Linked DNA regions of Oryctolagus cuniculus. The protein of the gene in region 2 purifies or fractionates together with the protein of the main gene of each other region. This does not show direct contact. Links are inferred from orthologs where the notes say so. Each region holds a gene or a part of one and is shown on either strand. Other genes may lie near its edges.

The links.
Region 1: the proteins of VARS1 (region 2) and EEF1A1 purify together in Homo sapiens (affinity purification with mass spectrometry; 3 studies listed by BioGRID and IntAct, counting the BioPlex papers as one, with this or other methods). This does not show direct contact. The link is inferred for Oryctolagus cuniculus from reciprocal best matches to the Homo sapiens genes VARS1 and EEF1A1.

What each region holds. Positions count from the first base shown.
Region 1 is NC_091436.1:99,027,764-99,032,191, reverse strand, and holds EEF1A1 (elongation factor 1-alpha 1), read right to left. Parts: upstream 3,078-4,428; 5' UTR 3,050-3,077; coding exon 2,906-3,049; intron 2,649-2,905; coding exon 2,469-2,648; intron 2,356-2,468; coding exon 2,059-2,355; intron 1,979-2,058; coding exon 1,828-1,978; intron 1,727-1,827; coding exon 1,470-1,726; intron 1,304-1,469; coding exon 1,069-1,303; intron 967-1,068; coding exon 842-966; 3' UTR 557-841; downstream 1-556. UniProt on the Homo sapiens protein: Translation elongation factor that catalyzes the GTP-dependent binding of aminoacyl-tRNA (aa-tRNA) to the A-site of ribosomes during the elongation phase of protein synthesis.
Region 2 is NC_091436.1:138,825,649-138,830,172, reverse strand, and holds the start of VARS1 (valine--tRNA ligase), read right to left. Parts: upstream 2,888-4,524; 5' UTR 2,675-2,887; intron 2,400-2,674; 5' UTR 2,368-2,399; coding exon 1,981-2,367; intron 1,034-1,980; coding exon 899-1,033; intron 814-898; coding exon 675-813; intron 550-674; coding exon 425-549; intron 316-424; coding exon 231-315; intron 39-230; coding exon 1-38. UniProt on the Homo sapiens protein: Catalyzes the attachment of valine to tRNA(Val).

The DNA.
Region 1 (4,428 bases), about 40 Mb from region 2:
CCAAACTATGATTGTCAGCAATCTCCATGCTACTCATGGGTCACTAATACCACTATGAACCTCAAGAATAAAGCTTATTTGAAAATATGCTTTCCCCACCTTCCTGTATCTTAATTCTGATCATCTGTGGTCCACTTCTTATGTCAGGCTACAAATCCTTTACCAAACTGCTTTAGAAGAAATCTGTTAGAAATGGTGTTCTCACTTACATCAGGAAACCACTTTTTACGTTTTCTTAGGACCCTAGAAACCAGTGCTGTTTTACTAAAACTTCAAGTAATTTGGGAAACCAAAATTTAATGATTCTAACAAATTTACTTGTAGCTACACAATTTTATATGCAACATTTCATCCCTTAAGATTACAGAATTTTGCTTTCTAAACTAAATTACATGTCAACAGTTCTAACCAGCAGGGCTAACAGCCCTCCATAGCTTAAAACAAACAGGTGGGAAAAAATCCCTAACCCATGGAGTTTTAAAATTCCAGCCAATTCTAATTAGAAAAACCTGGAACACATTTGACAGGTCCAGTGTTGACAAGAAGACACAGGTTTCTCATTAAACTTTGTTTTAATGGGTCTCAAAATTCTGTGACAGATTTTTGGTCAAGTTGTTTCCATTAAAAAGTACTGATTTTAAAAACTAATAACTTAAAACTGCCACGCACAAAAAAAATGGTCCACAAAACATTCTCCTTTCCTTCTGAAGGTTTTACGATGCATTGTTATCATTAACCAGTCTTTTACTATTAAACTTAAATGGCCAATTGAGACAAACAGTTCTGAGACCGTTCTTCCACCACTGATTAAGACTGGGGTGGCAGGTATTAGGGGTAATATTCATTTAGCCTTCTGAGCTTTCTGGGCAGACTTGGTGACCTTGCCAGCTCCAGCAGCCTTCTTGTCCACTGCTTTGATCACACCCACAGCAACCGTCTGTCTCATATCACGGACAGCGAAACGACCTATTAAAACAAGTATTGAGTTGCCATGAGACACATAGTTCACAGAAGCAATTGTTAATCTTTAGTACAACTTGTAATAGCAATAAAAAAAAAAATCCTTACCCAGAGGAGGATAGTCAGAGAAGCTCTCAACACACATGGGCTTGCCGGGAACCATATCAACAATGGCAGCATCACCAGATTTCAAGAATTTAGGGCCATCTTCCAACTTCTTTCCAGAACGACGATCAATCTTTTCCTTCAGCTCAGCAAACTTGCAAGCAATGTGAGCTGTGTGACAATCCAGTACAGGGGCATACCCAGCACTGATCTGACCTGGATGGTTCAGGATGATCACCTGGGAAAAAAAGGATATGCATTTTAGTGCTTCTCAAACTGAACTGTGGTAACAGCTAGAAATGCTAACTCCCCTGATGTGATAACACTTCATACATGCATCAGATTGCTTACCCCCTTGAGTATGCATGAACATTGTCAATTAACAGATCATTTTAAATTGTTACCTGAGCAGTGAAGCCAGCTGCTTCCATTGGTGGGTCATTTTTGCTGTCACCAGCAACGTTGCCACGACGAACATCTTTGACAGACACGTTCTTGACATTGAAGCCCACATTGTCCCCAGGAAGAGCTTCACTCAAAGCTTCATGGTGCATTTCGACGGACTTGACTTCAGTTGTGACATTGACTGGAGCAAAAGTTACCACCATGCCAGGTTTGAGAACACCAGTCTCCACTCGGCCCACAGGGACAGTGCCAATACCTAAAATATTTGCAGATTACCAAAGAGTTATTGAGGGCCAAAGATTTTTCACCTGTTCCAATTCAAGTTATATTCTGATGTTACATTAATACCCAACTTACCACCAATTTTGTAGACATCCTGTAGGGGCAGACGCAGAGGCTTGTCAGTTGGTCTAGTTGGTGGAAGGATGCAGTCCAGGGCTTCAAGCAGTGTGGTTCCACTGGCATTGCCATCTTTGCGGGTGACTTTCCATCCCTTGAACCACGGCATCTGAAACACAAGAGAACAATTAATTCTATCACATCACCACTTCCAGCTCTTTAACAAGCACTGTCTTGAAAGTCACTTACATTAGCACTTGGCTCCAGCATGTTGTCACCGTTCCAACCAGAAATTGGCACAAATGCTACTGTGTCAGGGTTGTAGCCAATTTTCTTAATGTAGGTGCTGACTTCCTTAACGATTTCCTCGTATCTCTTCTGGCTGTAGGGTGGCTCAGTGGAATCCATCTTGTTAACACCAACAATTAGCTGTTTCACACCCAGCGTGTAAGCCAGAAGGGCATGCTCACGGGTCTGCCCGTTCTTGGAGATACCAGCTTCAAATTCCCCGACACCAGCAGCAACAATCAGGACGGCACAGTCAGCCTTTAAAGAAATCAAGGACACACACTGTGAACGAAGGTACCTCAAACCTAAGGAGGAACTCACCCACCCCCCGCCTAGAAAACCTTATGTCTACAGTTACTAGTTGCACAAACCTGAGATGTGCCTGTAATCATGTTTTTGATGAAGTCTCTGTGTCCTGGGGCATCAATGATAGTCACGTAATACTTGCTGGTCTCAAATTTCCACAGGGAGATGTCGATGGTGATACCACGCTCACGCTCGGCTTTCAGTTTATCCAAGACCCAGGCATACTTGAAGGAGCCCTTTCCCATCTGTAATTACACAGAGCACTCAGACGGTTACTAAGACACAGCAAAGCTTGAAACCCCATGCCCCCCTCCGCTTGGGAATGCATTCCGCTTCCCAAACTGCTGGGCCTAGGTGGCTCTCCAGTCGATATGGTGGCTCGTGATTTTAACATTCACATTCAGACAACTAATCACTGTTGTCTTTTATAGTCATAGCACTCTCATTTTAGTGGCCAGACTTAATGTAATTCAGCATCTTTCCCTTGCGATACTGGACATACCTCGGCAGCCTCCTTCTCAAATTTTTCAATGGTTCTTTTGTCGATGCCACCACATTTGTAGATCAGATGGCCAGTGGTGGTGGACTTGCCCGAATCTACGTGGCCAATGACGACGATGTTGATGTGAGTCTTTTCCTTTCCCATTTTGGCTTTGATTTAGCGGTGGTTTTCACGACACCTAAAATGGAAAAAGGGGGGGAACCTTTGAACCACTGTCCGAGGGTTGAGACTAAGCCACGTTCAAAACTCAAAAGGGCAAATTCCAAGGAGAATTACATCCAATGCCAAGCTGGCCTAACTCTTCAGTCTCCACCCACCGAGTGAGTTAACTCCATCGCCTAAAAAATCTCCGCCCCCAGCCGAGCCAAGCCGAACTCCAAAGGCCACACGAAGAAGCCAGGTGCCCAGACGGCGCCCTGTACCCCGTGGGGTCGCAGGAAGCGGCGGCCGAAGAGGGGAAGGCTCTTTTCCTTTGTGTGGGTGACTCACCCGCCCGCTCTCCCGGGCCACCGCGTCCTCCATTTTGAGCTCCCTGCAGCGGGGACGGCGAGCGGCCATCTTTTTCCGCGCACGCAACTGGTGCCGAGCGGGCCGGGCTCCGCCGCCCGGGGTGGGGCGGCCGCGGCCCCACCGAGCCGCCCGCCCCACGACCCTCGCCTCTCCCCTCGCCCGGCCTGGGCAGGCGCGGCGCCGTCGGGCCTCGCCCAGGCCGCGCCCGACATGTGCGCCCGGACGGGCGGGCCCCGCCGCTCGCTGTCCCTACGCCGCGCGGCCGCCCTGCCACCCCCTCGGGCCGGACGACGAACGCGCGGGGTAGCCCGCCCGGCCTCGGCGGGCCCATCTCGACGAACAAAAAAAGAGCCGTACCGATCCACGTAAAAACTCAAAGGGCCGAAGGGCCCCGCGAGCGAGGCTAGCCAGGCCGGCGCGAAGGCGAGAGGACTCGCACGCGGCGGCCACGCCAGGCCTCAACTCCAGCACGAGGAAGAGGCTCCTGGAAAACGCGCAAACCTCCAACCCTCCCGCCCCGTTACAGCCCGAAATTCGGAGCCAGGAACCTCGTCAAGAGGCTCAGTGGCATGGCAGTGTCCCCGAGCACGCGAGGGCCCCAGCCCGCTCAAGGCCAGACCCGCGGAAGCCACACCCGACACTCACCTGTGTTCTGGCGGCAAACCCGTTGCGAAAAAGAACGTCCAGGGCGACTACGGCACTTATATACGGTTCTCCCCCACCCTCGGGAAGAGGGCGGAGTCAGCACACGACACCGCTTTCCCAGTTTGCCCCGCGCCACCTCCACTAGGCACCGGTTCAATCGCCGTCCCCTCCCCCAACGCCTCGGGGACCGTGGGCGATGTGCGCTCCGACCACTGACGAGCACACAGCGCCTCGCGCATGCTCGCCTCGGTCCCGGTGACGACGAGCGCGAGGGGTAGGGGGCGGGGACGCGGCGATCTCTCGGTTCTAGGGTAACGGGAGTTTAGCGACGGTCCCTGGGCTTCCCCGAGACTGAGGCGAGTCCTCTT
Region 2 (4,524 bases):
CTGCGGGCTGTATGAGTCAGGCATGGTGCCACTGACGTCTGCGGGGCGGAGGGGAGGGCTCAGTGTGCGGCTGAGAGCAGGGGCAAGGGGTGGGCCCGCAGGGGGACAGGCTTCTAGCACGCCCATCGCGAGACGGACACCCTCACTGAGCAGCGTGATGCACGCAAGGCCGCAAGGCCGGAGCAAGAAGGGGCAAACGCTTGGACGGAGCAGCTGGAGGGTGGGGTTACCTTTCTTCTCTCCGGGTGGGGTTGGGAGGTCATAGGTGATGACCCCAGGATCCCGTTTCTCCTTCTTCTCTGGTTTTGGTTTCTTCTGCGGGGGGTGGGGGTGGGGGTGGGATACGACAAGGCCCAGGCTATCAGCCACCCCTCCCCACCCCTCCCGGGTACCACCTCCTCCAGCTGCACCCTGAGCCTCTCACCTCCCCTGGGGGGGGCTGCTGCTGCTGCATTTTCTGCTTCTGTTGGAATTTTTCTAGCTTCTCCCGCTTCTTTGCCTCTTTCTTGAGCTGAGCAGCTGTCTTTGGGGGTGCAGCCACCTCAGGGCCTGGAGAGAGGTGCAGGAGGTCACACTCAGTCCCTGGGACCCTCTGTAACAGTGCTACCGCCTCTCACGCAGGCTGTTGCAGGCCCCGGCCAGCCGGAGAGGAGCCGCCATCCGCCCTCCCTCACCTGGCTGCTGAGAGAAGGGCCTGGCCCCCGAGTACAGAACCACTTCTCCCAACACGGCGCGGAATTCCGGCTGCTGGACGCACGTGAGGAACCAGCGGGTCACGTTACCCCAGACCTGGCGGGCCGAGGGGTCCAGGACCTAACACGGGGAATGACCATCTCAGCCACCCTATAGCAAGGTCAGAGAGGGGCTCTCGGTTCCTCCCCAGGCCCCAGTGACTCACATATCGGAACGGCAGCAGCAGGGCTGTGACAGCTGCCAGGTCAGCCAGCGTGGGGGCCTCCCCAGCCAGGTAGGTGTGCAGACGGAGCCACTCCTCCAAGGGGCTCAAGGCCCTGCCCAGGGCTCCCAGGGCAGCCTGCGGGAAGGGGAAGGGGATGAGACAGGCCTGGTCCACCCCCTAACCCGATCTGGTAGGCCTCCCTCCACACCCACTCCTGCAGATCACCACCTCTGAGGTCAGTCTCTCCTTCGCTCACACACTCATATCAATACTTCTGACGCATCCAGCAAATCTCTATTGAACACGTACTATGTGCCAGGGCCATACAGTAAGCACAGGAATTAAAGATCCTCCGAGGCAGCAAAGTAATCACCAGGTCCAGGGCTTAATTTCTTTTAAAGCGCCTGTCTGGGGAATGAGGCACCCACGTGGACAGGCCGAGCCCTGCCTGCCAGCTTACAGGGAGGACCACACATGAGCAACTACTTAGTACACAGCCCTTTCTTAACTCTTACAAAGAAACACACAGCAGGCTGATGGGAACAAGAAATTCTAGGAAAAAGAGACTATTTTAGACAGGGCGATGACGCCAGGGTCTGTGTCACAAATTCATTCATTCGAGAAACACCACGAGCCTGCCACATGCCGTAGCAGGAGGCGGAGCTGCGGGTAGGCACAGCCCTGCTCTGGAAGGACTTACAGACATAACTGGTAGGGTTTCTCCTCTCCCTTCCTCCTCATTTAATTTCTCCTTTATCTCCTTCCAGCAGCCGCCACCTCTCCCTCACCCAGGCTTCTCTCAAGTCCCAGTCACCCCTATCTATTCTCATCCAACTCACAAACTTCTACCTGGAAACTTCGAAGCTGCCTGGCATGGGACTGTGTGCTCTGACACATCCTTTAATCGCATTAACTCAGCGAGGCTGGTATTACATCAGGCACCCGGCTCAGAGTTTAAGAAGCCAGCCCAAGGCTACCACACTCGGTGACAATCTGGGACTTGATCAACGTTTTTCCGTATCTGATGGCTCTATTACGATCATCTCCAATTTCCCCCTCACCCTCCTCTCCTCCCCACTCACCTGGGGGTCCTGAGCTGGGCTTCGCAGTCCCAGGGCCGGCAGCGTAGCCCCACAGGCAGCCGGTATTAGCTCCGTGTCGGCGTAGCTGACCCACTGTTGGACGAGGACAGCCGCCTGGCTGCCCCCAGAGCCCCCGAGGCCCGCTGGCCACAGCAGCTGAGACACAGCCGTGGCCCCCCACACCCACAGCCCACCGGGCCCCTGCTCCAGGGCCGGCAGGCGGGGTGGGGGAAAGGGCGTCCTACTGGTTGGGGGCGGCTGGAGACAGATTCGGGGGTGGGCTCCTCCCCATCCTGGTCCCTCTCCAGCCTCCCCATAGCGAGCAGCTATGAGGGCCCGGAGGCTGGGGAAGGCATCGGGGTGAGGGGAGACGTAAAGGATGGACATGGTTATGCGGGTCCCGGACGAGATGGCGAAACCTGGGAGAAAGAGACGGGGGTAGACTGAGGGACGCAGGGACCCTATATTGAAGAGAGAGGGGGCCCTCGGGGGGGGGGGTGGCTCCTTTGCCGCAGGCGCCCGAGATGCTCAGGCCTCAGGAGCCCAGGGGCTAGCTCTCACAGTGACAAGGAGAGCCCGCCTGGGGGAAGAGGGGCGGAGGTCTCCCCAGGATCGCAGGGGTCTCCGGGAGTGCGGGAGTTCGCAATAGCGGTTCGGCGTCCGGTGGACGCGGGTTCGCGCCGCGTGTACGTACTGGAGGGAGGTGGTCGGGCAGGGCCGGGAATCCCCCTCCCCAACTGGGAGGCCGGGGCGGAGAAGTTGGGCGGGCCTCGGAGACGGTGGGCGGCTCTTTAGGCGACCCCGGCTCCCTGCGACCGCCGGCCCGGCAGTCGGCGCCCACGTGTTCCCCCCTTTGTGACAGCGAGCATTTCCGGGCCCGCCGGTCCTGGCGGGGGCGGCCGCGCCCCGCCTGCGTGTGCGCGCGCCGCCCCGCGCTGCCCGACCCTGCCCCGGAGGACGCGCCGCGCGCCGCGCTCCCAAGGAACTGCACGGAGCGCGGGGCGCGGGGCGCGGGGCGCAGAGCGCGAAGACGCCCCCCCAGGAACGGCACTCCCGTCAGGCGCCGCCGCGGGCACCCCGTGCGGGTCCTCGGGCCGGGCCGCGAGGGCGGCGCCCAGCGGGCAGCGGCGAACCGGCCGCGCAGGGAGCGGCCTGAGCCTGCCGTAAGTACGGAAGGAGCCTCATTTGCACACCGACCAGGGTCACGCTGCAGGGCTTGCGCTGTTTCTTAGCGGGGAAGAGTTCGCGTCTGCATTGCATATTGGAAATCGTCTACTGGACGCTGTTGCACAGTGGCTGTTTCTTAATTCCCAGTCACCACTCCACGGCACAAGCTAAGTCACTTGTTGGTATCTTCGAGATACCCGGAGAAAGTGTGTACTGCGTTGGCTGGATTAAAGCAGAAATACGGCGACGTGAAATGCATTTTGGAATCTCACGTTACCAAATTAGTGGAAGGGTGAATTAATGGAAGGGCTGGGGTGGACGCTTGGCCTGGAGGCTAAGACACCACATGGGGCACATCCTGCATCCCGTATTGGAGTGTCTGAGTTCAAGTCCAGGTTCTGGTTCAGATTCTAGCTTCCTGCCAGTGTGCACGGTGGCAGGTAGCAAGTGGTCACTGCGACCCACGTGGACCCAGATTTTTTTTTTTTTTTTTTTTTTTTTTTACAGGCAGAGTGGACAGTGAGAGAGACAGAGAGAAAGGTCTTCCTTTGCCGTTGGCTCACCCTCCAATGGCCGCCGCGGCCGGCGCGCTGCGCTGATCCAATGGCAGGAGGCAGGTACTTCTCCTGTTCTCCCATGGGGTGCAGGGCCCAAGCACTCACTCCCTGGCCATAGCAGAGAGCTGGCCTGGAAGAGGGGCAACCGGGACAGAATCCAGCGCCCCGACCAGGACTAGAACCCGGTGTGCCAGCGCCGCAAGGCGGAGGATTAACCTAGTGAGCTGTGGCGCTGGCCAGACCCAGATTTCTTTCTTTTTTTTTTTTTTTAAGATTCACTTATTCGAAGAACAGAGTTAGAGGGAGAAAGATCTTCCATCTGCTGGTTTACTCCCTAAATAGCCGCAATGGCCAGGGTTGAGCAGGTCCAAAGCCAAGACCCAGGAGCTTCTTCCAGGTCTCCCACGTGGATGCAGGGGCCCTTGGGCCTTGGCCATCCTCCCCTACTTTTCCAGGCCATAGCAGGGAGCTGGGACTTGAACTGGTGCCCATATGAGATGGGCAGACTTTTACCCACTAGGCCCCAGCGCTGGCCCTGAGATGGAGTTCTGAGTTCTGGTTTTGCCATGGCTCAGCCCTGGCATTTGTTCATTTGAGATGGAACCAGTGGACAGGAGATCCTGTCTGTCACTCTGCCTTTCAAATAAATAAAAAGAAAAAAAAAAAAAAAAAGAAGGGCAGCACGCAATCTAGTAGTCAGTGCAACATACGCAAAGGGCCAGAGGGTAAACATGAAGGTGGGGCTGGCCCGGCTGAGGTATTCAATGTTTTATCCAAGGAACACAGGCACAGGAAATGCTGGGAGGTCGACTGGCTTGAC